3 linked regions of the Mus musculus genome follow. The protein of the gene in region 1 interacts with the protein of each later gene in a pairwise test. Links are inferred from orthologs where the notes say so. Each region holds a gene or a part of one and is shown in the gene's direction. Other genes may lie near its edges.

Evidence for each region. The genes of interacting proteins can lie anywhere in the genome.
Region 2: the proteins of Tle5 (region 1) and Nek6 interact in binary tests that used the Homo sapiens proteins (3 or more experiments, as listed by UniProt). The two-hybrid records come from large-scale screens. The link is inferred for Mus musculus from reciprocal best matches to the Homo sapiens genes TLE5 and NEK6.
Region 3: the proteins of Tle5 (region 1) and Smarcb1 interact in binary tests that used the Homo sapiens proteins (3 or more experiments, as listed by UniProt). The link is inferred for Mus musculus from reciprocal best matches to the Homo sapiens genes TLE5 and SMARCB1.

What each region holds. Positions count from the first base shown.
Region 1 is NC_000076.6:81,558,275-81,562,268, forward strand, and holds the start of Tle5 (TLE family member 5), read left to right. Parts: upstream 1-1,169; 5' UTR 1,170-1,367; coding exon 1,368-1,394; intron 1,395-2,944; coding exon 2,945-3,042; intron 3,043-3,994. UniProt on the Homo sapiens protein: Transcriptional corepressor. Acts as a dominant repressor towards other family members. Inhibits NF-kappa-B-regulated gene expression. May be required for the initiation and maintenance of the differentiated state.
Region 2 is NC_000068.7:38,510,209-38,514,510, forward strand, and holds the start of Nek6 (serine/threonine-protein kinase Nek6), read left to right. Parts: upstream 1-1,488; 5' UTR 1,489-1,585; intron 1,586-1,667; exon of another isoform or gene 1,668-1,771; intron 1,772-4,302. UniProt on the Homo sapiens protein: Protein kinase which plays an important role in mitotic cell cycle progression. Required for chromosome segregation at metaphase-anaphase transition, robust mitotic spindle formation and cytokinesis.
Region 3 is NC_000076.6:75,918,801-75,922,895, reverse strand, and holds the start of Smarcb1 (SWI/SNF-related matrix-associated actin-dependent regulator of chromatin subfamily B member 1), read left to right. Parts: upstream 1-1,281; 5' UTR 1,282-1,500; coding exon 1,501-1,593; intron 1,594-4,095.

The sequences.
Region 1 (3,994 bases):
TATTGGCCCAAAGAACTATTTTATTTATTTTATTATTATTATTATTATTATTATTTTTTTTAGTTTTTCGAGACAGGGTTTCTCTGTATAGCCCTGGCTGTCCTGGAACTCACTTTGTAGACCAGGCTGGCCTCGAACTCAGAGATCCACCTGCCTCTGCCTCCCGAGTGCTGGGATTAAAGGCGTGTGCCACCACGCCCGGCTCCTATTTATTTTTTATTATTTTTTAAGACAGGGCTCATGGAGCCCTGGCTGCCCTGGAACTCACAAGGTGGGCTTGAATTTACAGAGATCTGCCTGCCTCTGCCTCCCAAGGGCTTAGATTAAAGGCTTGTGTTACCACACCAGCATATTTGTTTTAATCATTTGTTTTTGTTTTGTTTTGTTTTGTTTTTGGACAGGTCTCACCTCAGTAAGCTGGGTCACAGGTTGATGCTGAATTTTCGATAATCCTCCTGCCTCAGCTTCCCAAGTGTTGGGATCACACTAGGACCTGGGGAACTCTTACCTTTTATTTATGAGACAGGTCTCTCTTTGTAGCCCTGGTTGTCCCAGAAGTCTCTATGTAGACCAGGCTGGTCTCAAATCAGAGATCCACCTGCCTCTGCCCTGAGTGCTTGGATTAAAGGTGTCGGCCACCACCACCTCCTGTGGCCCGATTTAACTTTTTCATGTTTTGAGATAAGGGCTCCTATAGCCCAGGCTGTATTCACTGTGTAGATCAGGCTGGCTTCCACCTACCTCAACCTACCCAGCACTGGTAATAGGTCTTGTACCCCAGAACAAACCATGTCTTACTTTTTGTTGTTTTAAGACAGGCTCTCTGGTAACCCAGGCTGGCCGAGAACTCTTGATCCTCTTGCCTCTGCACCCCAGTCATTAGATTACAGGACTGGGCCCCCATCCTACCTCTGTGGGACAGGTGTCACTCTACTGCCCAGTGTGGCCCCCAGCCGTGCCAACCCTCCCGACTCCAAAGAGGACATAGCACACTGTAGGCACTCCATAAATCCACCGTGAAGCCTGGGTGTCCAGGCTGCGAGTCTGTGGCCTTGGGACTGGGGGCGGGGGGCACTGAGGCAGGCCTCCAGCTGGGGTTCCGGGCCGTGGCGGGGGCGGGGCGCGCGGGGCCAAGGTCACGGGTGGGGCGTCCGGGCCTGCGCAGTGCCGGGCGCGGCAGGTGGAGCGGGAGCCCGGGCGGCACCGCGTCGCCATTACACAATAGCGCGGGCGGCGCGGGCGGGCGGCGGGCGGCGCAGGAGGCGGGACGCGGGGCCCCGGAGCTGTCGATCGGGGACAAAGCGCGGCCGCCCGGCGCCCCCCGAGCCGCCCGAGCCGGGGCGCAGCCCGCGCCCCCCGCGACTGACATGATGTTTCCGCAAAGCCGGCACTCGGTAAGGGGAACCCCGCGCACTGCACCCCAGAGCTCTCCCTGCACCCCCAGCTCAGCTCACTGCACCTCCGGCGCTCACCCTGCACCCCAGCTCATCTCACTGCACCCCTTCTAGGTCGGATCCCGTCTCTCTCCCCGCCCAGGGCCTGTCCCAGGGGCTCCCTACGCTTCCCCAGCTCCCACAGGCCTGTTCTGTCCCCCCAGCCCTGGGCTCTTCCCCAAGGTCCTTGCACCCCACAACCCAGACCCTACGCACCCCACCAGTCCAGCACTGCATCCTTCAGCCCGGATCCCTGAACTTTGATCCCTGCCCTGAGTCCCCTCACCGCCTCCCCCACACCTCGCCCAACCCGACTCCAAGGTCTTCTTCCACCCCCACCCCCCACCCCCGGGCTCCGGATCAGCCCGCACCCCACTGCAGCCGCATTCGGCCTGTCTTCCTGACCTGGGGCTCAGGCCCAGAGCTGCAGCACCCCAGTCACAAGCCCATCATCCCCTCACCCCAGACGCGCATGTCCTCCAGCCCTAGATCTTGCATCCCCACCTCGGTGCACCCCCCCCCCCCCAGGCCCAGCTCTCTAAGAGCTTCAGACTGGCCTGCCACCAAGTCCAAGGCCCTGCACCCACCATCACCTCGGCCCTGCACTTCTTTCCACCTCAGATCTGCCCTGGCCCCAAGTCTGGTGCCCTCTACCCCCCAATACAGTTCCCGCACCCCCTGTCTCTCTCTCCAGCCCTGTCGGGCCTGGCGTCACCATCCGGGCCCAGCGCCACCCCCAGCCTGGCTCCGCGTCCCTCCTCCAGCTGCAGGCCCCGCACCCCAGCGGCCTTCCTCCTCCCAGCCCCCATCCTGCACCCTCAGCACTAGGGTTGGGGAGACCCTGTGCCCGTATAATGTCCAGTGCTCCCTTGTCCGGAGCCGGATACCCCGCAGTCTTCCCACCCCCCGCCCCCCCAGCACTAGGCTCCGTCCCTCTCATGTCCAAGCCCATCTGTCGTCTCCCACACCAGCTCCCAGTGGCCTTGCTCCCCACACCCTGCCCCTAGCCTTGCTCCCCAGATCCGAGATCTTACACCCTAACTCCTGACCCAGTGCCCTCAGATGCCGGCCCTGTACATATCCCACCCCCCTCGCTCCCCAGCCCCCCAGCTTCCAGCTCTCCCTAACTCCCAGGCCATGATTTCTCTGTGGCTTTGGCTGGGGCCTGGGCAGCTTTGGGGGGGTCCCTTCCTGAAGAGCACACCCGTGAGGAAACAGGTGTGATGGGGGTACTCCCAGGAAATGTAGGGTGGTAAGTTAGGTGCCTCTTCCATGCCGGCTTTGAAGGGAGGCCTGTGCCACCCTGATTGACTTAGAGGGGCTTTCTGGGGAATTCCTCTGGGAGCATCTGGAGGACAGAGGTGCACCCCGCCCCATGGGTGCCCGCCCCTCCCAAATGACCAGTGTGTAAAAGTGTCCCCACTGCCTAGGGGCCTCACAGCCCCTTCCTGGCAGCCCAGGAAGTGGGGCATGGGCGGGGCAGGACGCCGCTCACCCTCCTGCCCCCGCAGGGCTCCTCCCACCTCCCTCAGCAGCTCAAGTTCACCACCTCCGACTCCTGTGACCGCATCAAAGATGAGTTCCAGCTGCTGCAAGCGCAGTATCACAGGTGAGCCCGGACCAGGGCACCTCCATGTGTCTGTAGAGTTGTCTGTGGCTTGAAGGAAGGCCGGGTGGGGGGTGCCTCTGTCATCTCAGGGCTCAGGAGGTGGGGCCAAGAGGGTCAGCAGTTCAAGGTCATCCTCAGCTACTTAGCAAGTTGGCCAGCCTGGGCTACATGAGGCCATGTGTCCAAAAACAATCAGCCCCATGGTGTGGAAGAAGAAAGTAAGGCATACAGCGTTCATGGTTCTAGAGGCCCAGTCCCTATGTTTAACACAGGCTAGAGTGGGTGCCCAGAGAGGGTGAGTAATCGGCTCAGGGTCACACAGCCCTACCTTCTTCTGTCCAATTTTGGAGTAGGGTCCCACAGACCCTCCAGCCTGGTCACTCCCACCACAAATACTTTTCTCATTTCTAATGGGTTCCTCATGTGTGAAACTGATCACCCCGAAGCCCAGGGTGTCAGCAGCTTCCGGGGTGTACAGCACAGACGCAGGAAAAGCTAAAGCTGAGCACGGGTCCCCATCTAACCTAGGCTGGGTTTGAGTGGGCTTGGGGATACAGGCAAAACCTTCCAGCTCTCACAGGCAGGTGAATGGAGTCGTTCTGGGCTAGCCTGAGGTACAGAGCAAACCTCTGTCTCAGAAAACAAACTAATAATAATGATGATAATGCCTTTATTTTTTATTTTTTTATATGTAAGTAGCTACACTGTAGCTGTCCTCAGACACTCCAGAAGAGGGCATCGGATCCCATTGTAGATAGTTGTGAGCCATCATGTGGTTGCTGGGATTTGAACTCAGGACCTGAGGAAGAGCAGTCAGTGCTCTTAACCGCTGAGCCATCTCACAGCCAATGACAAAACCTTTAAAAGACCCTTAGATTTCTCTAAGAAAAAAAAGTAAATCTGAGTGTTCGTGGAGTTTTCTATTTAAAAAAAAATGTTATATTTGAGTTTT
Region 2 (4,302 bases), on another chromosome or scaffold:
GCTCTGGGCTGGTGGCCATGCCTTTCTTACTTAGAACAAGGTTGCCTAGCAATAAGCTGCTGAGACCAGAAATCTGTGTCATCTGCTTCCAGTTCAACCACTCACCACCTGGGGGACTTTGCTCACAGGCCTCATTAAAGCCATCTAAGAAATGGGCACATGGGTGGCATGATGCCACCCTCACAATGGCTGAACATCATGAGGCAGGCAGGGGGAGTAATATAGGTTGTGGGCCTGATTACTGTGGACTCAAGTAGACTAGTTAACTGAATACTCAGCAGGTTGCTATCCCGTGCCCAGACATGTACAGCAGATTAATGGACAGATGGCAGGTGCTTGGGCACACAGACAGTCTAGAACACTCAGAAGCAGCAATACCTGTCCCAGCTACGAGCATCCCTTCCTGAGGGGAAGTGGGAGTCACCTTAATTGCTCCCCAGAGAAGCTTGGACATCCTAGTGGGGTTGTTAAGTATGCATAGATGAAGGCAGTTGTTGTTGTTGTTGTTTTGTTTTTTGTTTTTAACATACAACACTTGGTGTGAATTTGGAAGACATGGGGAGGTTAAAGACAATTTGCTGGAGTTCTTTTGTTCCATTGTGTGGGTCTGGAGGATCAAACTCAGGTCATTCCCCCCACCTCCACCCCCACCCCCACCCCCAGGCTCCTGGGTATTTGGCTGGCCCACTTACTCCTAAAAACCTTCTGCACACTGATGCTTGGCTGGCCTGGAGTTCCCAGGAAGGCAGTATCCCCAGGAGATACTGGCACTTTGAGGGCAGGGACTTGGATTTATCCTAGGTGCCTACTTCTGGAACTGTACTGGGCACTATTTGTACACTGTACTATTGTACACACTGATATATATATATATATATATATATATATATATATACATATATACATATATACATATATACATATATATATATATATATATATATATATATATATATATATATATATATATATATATATATATAATATGAATGACAACATCTCATGTAGCCCAGGCTGGCTTGGAATTTGCTATATAGCCAAGAATGAATGAATTTCAGACATTTTTGCCTCAGCCTTCCTAATTCAGAGATTACAGGTGCCCAATTTCCCTAGTGCTGAGATTAGGAAAGCATGCTATCAACTGAACTTCACCTCCTGCTGCACTCTGTGAATGGGTCAATTTCGGTCCTGCGAGGGCTGTGAGAGGAGCAATGTCAGCTGATGAGGAATCCATGGGTGTGGGGAAGGGTCCACGAATTGGTTACCCAGCGAATCTGCATCTTATAAAGTCTAGAGCCCGCGCAGAGGGGTTCAGTGCCCAGGGTTTGGAGTCTGAGGCTCAGTCTTCCAACCTGAGTTGGACGATCAGGCACCCAGGCTGGGAGCGCGCCCCCGGCGCCCCCTAGCCTGCGTGGCGGCCGCGCGCACGGGCGCAGGGGGCGGCGCGGCCCCGCGGCGGGGAGGGGCGGGCGCGCGGGCGCGCGCAGAAGCGGCGGCTGAACCAAGCGGACTAGCTGCGGCCGCAGCGCCGCCAACTCGCGTGTGACCCGCGCTCCGCCCGCCGCCGAGAGAGCCGCCAGCGCCGGTGAGTGGCCTGGGACCAGCGAGGGGCGCGGGCCAGGGCGTGGGACTGTCACCCGAGGCGTTGTGGGCGCGCGCGCGTGCCCGGGGAGTCGGCGGGGACGCCCGCAGGAGGCCGAGGTGTCCGCGGCGGGCTCCATCCGCCCAGCTGCGCGGGAGTGCGTGCGTGTGCACATCAGGGGCCCGGGCTGTGAGTTTGGGGTGGACCAGTGCGGGTGGACGGGCTCGGCTTCGGTTTATCCGTTTATCGAGTGTTTACCGTGGATGCCAAGGAGTACGTGTGCCCACGTGTCTGAACGTTCCCGAGTGAGTGTGTGCACACGTGCACGGGCAAAAGTGTACAAATTCCATACGAGAGTGTGTTTAGGATCCAGACTGTGCACTCCACACTGCAGGCCGGTGTGTGTGTGATGTGCCGGCTGACCCTGTCCAGAGAGGGTGCTGGGCCGGATTCTGTGAGTCCGCAGATCCCCAGGTTCTGACTTTGGTTGGAAGCCTCTTAGCCCGGCCTTGGCAGAACTCTGCATGGCCACGCAGGCTGAGGAGGGGGCTGCGCTGAACTTGAATTGAGGTTTTCTAAATATGTCTTAGTTCCCTGGCTTTGTTCGTGGCTGTCTCTAGCTAGGCCAGATTTGGACTCTGTTCCCCATACCTAGGGGTTAGGCCCTAGGGAGACCCAGGGCCCCAGATACTTGTCCTCTCTGCCTGCTCCTCTAAGTTAATCATATTTCCCTGATTTAACCGAGCCCCAGAGGGCCATAACAAATGGGTGACAGCATGCTTGGGACACATCCTCTAAGGGCTGTCCGTGAAGTTTTGATTGACAGTTTGTGCATGTGTGTTTGAAAGTTTTAACTGCGTTAGAGCAAACTTTAGAAAGTTTATGTACAAAGTTTCACTCCACTTGCAAAATGCAGGGTGACTTTTTGAGGGGAAAATGTCCTCACAGGAGCCTGGTGTGTGTAAAAGGGCATGTTAAAAACCCTATTGCTAATGGGAGAAGAATTTCATTGAATGGGTGCCTGACTCCCAACAGGAGAAACTTAACCAGTGAACTTTGGACATCGTCGTCCAGAAGACAAAACCTGGAAGGAAACAAAAAAAGACCCATGTTCATTTTTTTTTTCCTCTTTGTCCCGAAAACTGGAGAAGAAAAAATATCCCCACCTTCTGGACGTGTTGAAACTGTTCCCCTCCCCCACCGGGGCCAGGCTCTCCCTGGATCCCCCACCCCCAAATAAAATATGCCTGTGGGGAGCGGAGGAGTGAGTCACTCTCTGGCAGAGGGCCCCACGGCAAACATTTGGGAAGGTTCTTGCTTAACTTCCCAGAAGAAAAGGCCCGGGATTTAAAATGGTCCCTGTGGTTGTGAGCCTCCGAGCCCCGTCTGCTTCAGAGATGACTACAAAAGTCATTTGCTGTCTTTTAAAAAGCCCAAGTCTCAGACTTAAGCATTGTCCAGGATTTAGAGCTGTTTAGGTTTCCAGAAATGGAGATGCTGGCTTTCCCAGGTGGCATATGGTGTGGGAAAGGAAGAGGGTAAGCAGCTGAATCGTTTACAGAGTACCTACTGTGTGCTGAGAGGTTCTTGGGGTCCTTAACTCTCCTGGATTCCACTCTGTTTTTGGGTTTGTGACCAAGGCATCTGACTCATAGAGAAATCAAACCTGTGTCCCAGGCCACCAGGGAAAGGGTAGTAGCCGAAGTCTGAGCCACCTGCCTGCCTTCTAGGCCTTCCTCCTTCATTGGGCCCAGGACTTGACATTTGACTTCCTAAGCTGTACAGCCTGGGCACTGAGGACTTGAACATTCCTGTCCTCATTAGGGCTCACCATAAGTCAGAGGTTATTGTCTCTATTATACGAGGAAACAGACACTAGCAGAGATGAACTGGCTGGCATAGTTTGGGAAGGTAGCACCACGACCCCGGTCCCCCATGATTAAGGATGCACCCTGTGCTGGGCTTGGTGCACAAAGTTTGAAGTTATTTTTCCTTTTCCCCACCAACACTGTTAGATGAGCACTGTTACAGTGTCCATTCTGTAGATGAAAAAACTGGGACACAGAGAGGCTATAGAATAGCGGTAGACCCAGAATTTGAACCCAGACTTGTCTGGACAGAGTCTATAGTCTCCCCATGAACTTGTAAAGTCCAGGTAAGTTGATAGATGGCAAAGTCAGGATTTAAATTCGTAGCTCTGATTCTAGGACGGGCTGGCTACCTTTATTGTGTTTTGTTCTTCTGGCCTGTTGTAAAGCCCAGCGATTTATGACAGGCCATGTTTTGCAGACCAGCCTGTTTCTAGAATTTGGGGCTAGGTCTTCCCAAAGACTGCTGAGCCACCAGAGTGAAGGTACTTTCCAAGTGCCAAGGATGGTCAAACCACTGTCAAAAGTAGAATAATACAATATTTCTCTCCTCTTTTCAGGTTGGACCAAGGAGGGAGGTGAGGGTGGAGGACTTGGTGAATCATTCAAGATTAGATATGGGTTACAACCAGGTGTGGTGGCTCACGCCCATAATTGTGGCTGAGGCAGGAGGATTGCTTTGAGTTCTGGGCCAGCCTGGATTTACATAGCAATTACCACATGTCCCAGGATTACACACCAAGATCCCATTTAAATAAATAAATTGATTAAATAAACACATAGATATAGGTTGGAGACAAAGCTGGACATGGCCCCAGGAAGAGCCCAGCCCCTGACCTTGTAGGGAGATGG
Region 3 (4,095 bases), about 5.6 Mb from region 1:
CCACCCCTGGCCCTTAACCCTCTGGTTCCCATGGCTGTGAGATCAGTGGGCAAACTCCTGGTTACCACAGCCTTTCCTAGTTCTTTAACATCTCCTTCATCATGACCCCAGTCACAATTGCAGTCTCATTAGACTGACCCTTATGAAGCTGGCCACTGTTTGTCCTGCTGCTTTCAGAGAAGTGTTTGTATTTTGCACATCCCACCATGCCCCCACCTCCCCTACACTAGGTTGTTAGTCCCTTTGCTCCCATACACAATGTCACTTTTACTTTAATGTTCTGTGGAATACATATTTTATGTATCTAAGGAAAATCTAGAAAGCACAAATGAGAGAAAACGTATTTGTCTTTCTGAGACTGGCCTGATTTGTTTAATATGATATCTTAGTTGCATCCATTTTCCTGAAAACAATGTAATTTCACTTTTGTGGCTGAAAAACAAAAAACACATGTACACACATTTCACACTCTTTTTTGTTTTCTGGGACAGAGTTGCTCAACATATCCCTGACTGTCTTGGAACTGAAGCTAAAAGCTTGCACCACCACACCCAGCCTAGACTACATTTTCTTCATCCATTCCTCTATTGTTGAATAGCTACCTAGGCTAGGCTATAACTTAAGCTCCTGTAATAGTGCTACAATAAACATTAAACATTTTGGAGTCACGGCTCTGTTCAACAGGGGGTGGACTGCTTGGACACGTTCCAGAAGCACTGTCTTCTCTCGGGGCTGTTATGCCCCAAGGCGGGCAGAGGCACAGACCAGGGCTGGGCTTGTGGGCACCAAGCTTGCAGAGGTAAGGAAGGAATGCAAGTGCCTCCTCCCGTTCATCTGGCACATCACCTAGATCTTTGAATAGTACCAACCTCCATCCAGTATTGTCATTCTTCCCATCCCTACTGCCTCGGGAACTGCTGTTGGCCTGGAGTGGATAGCTAGCTATTCCTAACGCACTTTCGGGTGGAAAACCTGAGGCGCTAGCGTGGGGTCGCCATGCCCACCCAGCTTCCCTCGGGCTTCCAGATAGAGCGGTCCTTCTCCTCGCTTAACGTCTCATTTTTTTCCTTCATCCCGGGGCGGAGTGCCAGCTCTGGCTATGCGACTAGGAAAGCTACCGCCTGAGTCAGGGCCTCAGTGGCTATTTCGGTCGCTGAGAGGTTTTCCTCCTTACCCGCCCAGGGAGGAAGCCTAGGAAGCAAAAAAGAACTCGGGTCCCTTTAAGGGCTTGCGGGAACGCGCTCGGCCTTGAGTCGCGCAGGCTGCGGCGCGCACGTTAGCGTCAGCTTCTCCACGCATGCGCACCGAGGGCGGCCTGCTCGTTGCAGAGACGGCCAAGGAGCCCAGTAGTGACACGAGCGCTCGCCCGGTTCGCCCGGCTTGCCCTGCCCGACCTTCACCTCCAGGCCTCCGTTCCTTTCGGTCCGACGCGCCTCGGCCCCGCCCTAGCCCACCGGATTCTTTCCAGCTCGACCCCGGCTGCCGGTTTCCCCCGCCGCCATGATGATGATGGCGTTGAGCAAGACCTTCGGGCAGAAGCCCGTCAAGTTTCAGCTGGAGGACGACGGGGAGTTCTACATGATCGGCTCCGAGGTAGCCCGCGGCGCGTTCTCGGCTTCCCGGGCAGCGGCTGGCCGGCTCGAGTCCCGGGGCGGGCTAGTGCTCCCCGAGAGCGCGCCTCCATTCATCGCGGAGGCGGGCGCGTGCTCGCAGCTGGGGCGTGGCCTGGTGGGCGTGGCCGGTCCCGCCTGGACCGTCCTGGGTTTTCTTTACCCACTTAACGTTGTTCAGACCCTAAGCATCTGTCCTAGCTTAGAGCGTCGAGCCGGTACACTCTAGGCAGATGGGGAAAGGATGTTCGGGAAGCCCCTGGGCGCTTGGAAGTGGAGGTGCAACACTGCCCTTGAACCCTTTGGCAGCTCTCGTGCACCCCACTGCCCCGGTCTCGAAATCTCTACTTGTAAGCCCGAAGCTTAGGAAAGCCTCTTCCCCTTTGTGTTGTTGCTTGCGAGGTGGACTGCAGAGAGCTTTTATGATGTTTAGAAAGTGATTGGACATGTTTGCTTTTGAGTGGATTGAGGCCCTGAGGTCGGAAGCACTAACGTTTTGGAGATCAGTGAACTAATTTTGAGTTTTTATAGGGGATAAATCTGAAGGGTCGCTAACCCAGAACCCAGAGCTAGAAGAGACAGCTTCTGTGCAGTCAGGTGGACAGGGTTCCTTAGGATCGCACCTGTGCGCCAGCCACTACCCTTTTCACAGGGGTCGCATATCAAAGATCCTGCATATTAGGTATTTACATTATGATTCGTAACTGTAGCAAAAATTAGAGTTATGAAGTAGCAACGAAAAAAGTTTATGGTGGAGGGGGTCATTACAACATGAGAAACTGTATTAAAGGGTCACAGCATTAGGAAGGTTGAGAACCACAACCTTAGAAAATCCCTTCAATTAACCCTAGAGACCAGCCAAATCTTTGTGTTTTTTTGTTTTTTTTGTTTTTCTTTTCTTTTTCTTCTTCGAGACAGTTTCTCTGTGTAGCCCTGGCTGTCCTGGAACTCACTCTGTAGACCAGGCTGGCAGAAATGTGCCTGCCTCTGCCTCCTGAGTGCTGGGATTAAAGGCGTGTGCCACCACTGCTCAGCTGAAATTTCTTTCTTTCTACCTTTTTTTTTTTTTTTTTTTTTTTTGGTGCAGATTGTCTATCTCAAACTAACTTCATTCCATCTAAGGGCAACCCCCAACCAGTTTATGTCTCTCCTCCCCTCCTCTCTTTCTTTCTTCCTTCCTTTTCTTTTCTTTTCTTTTCTTTTCGATTTATTTATTTATTTATTTATTTTATGTCTATGAGTACACTGTAGCGGTCTTCAGACACCCCAGAAGAGAGCATCAAATCTCATTACAGGTGGTTGTGAGCCACCACGTGGTTGCTGGGAATTGAACTCGGGACCTTCAGAAAAGCAGTCAGTGCTTTTAACTGGTGAGCCATCTCACCAGCCCCATCCCCCCTTCTTTTTGAGACAAGATCTCATCGTGTAACTGGCTGCCTTGTAGCTCCACTTTGTAGACCTGGCACTTGAACTCACAGAAATCCTCCTGCCTCTGAGTGCCAGGATCAAAGCACTTGGTGTCACTACACCCAGTTTATGTGGCTTATTTTTTTTTCTTTCTTTCTTACTCTTTTTTTGTTTGTTTGTTTATTAAGTGCACTGGGCTGCACCTTTAATCTGAACACTCAGGAGGCAGAAGTAGAGGGTGATTTTGAGTCCAGCCTGGCCTACGTAGTGAGATCTTGTCTTGAAAGGAATAATAATAACAAAAAGATAAAATTCAGATGTGTGAATGTCATCCAGTAGACATGTAACATGTGTAAAGAGGTAAGTGCCCACCCTGGAGAGCTAATGGCATTTCAGACTGCCAGCCGTTACCTCTGGCAGCTATTCAGTGACATACACTCCATTTTATTAGTGTGTCGGTTGAATCAGGTTGTGAGACCAATGTTGTCAGAAACATCCAGACTTAGAGTTTCCGTTTTCACCATCTTCCATTAAACAAAAAACTCAAGCCGCCAAGACTGATCACACTGTCACCTCTGTGCCTCTGTTCCACAGTGGCTGTGCTGGGGACATCTCTCACAGCTCAGAAGGGTCCTTGTTGGCCACTAGGCATTTGCTCAAGTGCAAGGTGTGGTGCGTATGGCAGTTAAGGACTTTAAATAGTCTATGCAGAAGAGTTTCTTCAAAGATGTTTATTTACCTGAACTGACCAGTGAAGGGGTAAATCTGGCCTCAGCCCTAGTTTTGAAAAGAAAATTCTCATGTGGTGGAGAGACTGAAAGACAGCTCCTGGTCAGGTGGGAAGAGCCTCGGGAGGTGTAGTGACAGCTTGCTCTGCCTCCTGACCCTTGCCCTCTTTCTCTGTCTTCCTCAGTTCTCATTTCTCATGCTGGGGAACCTAGAGCCTTGTACACGCTAAGCACATGGTCTTGCACTGAGCGCGCCTTCTTGGCTGGTTTTACTTTTCTTAAGCATCTGAGATGCTTACACTGGAAATCTTGTGTTTTGAGGTCATTGGCACGGCATGGTTTAGGTTTTA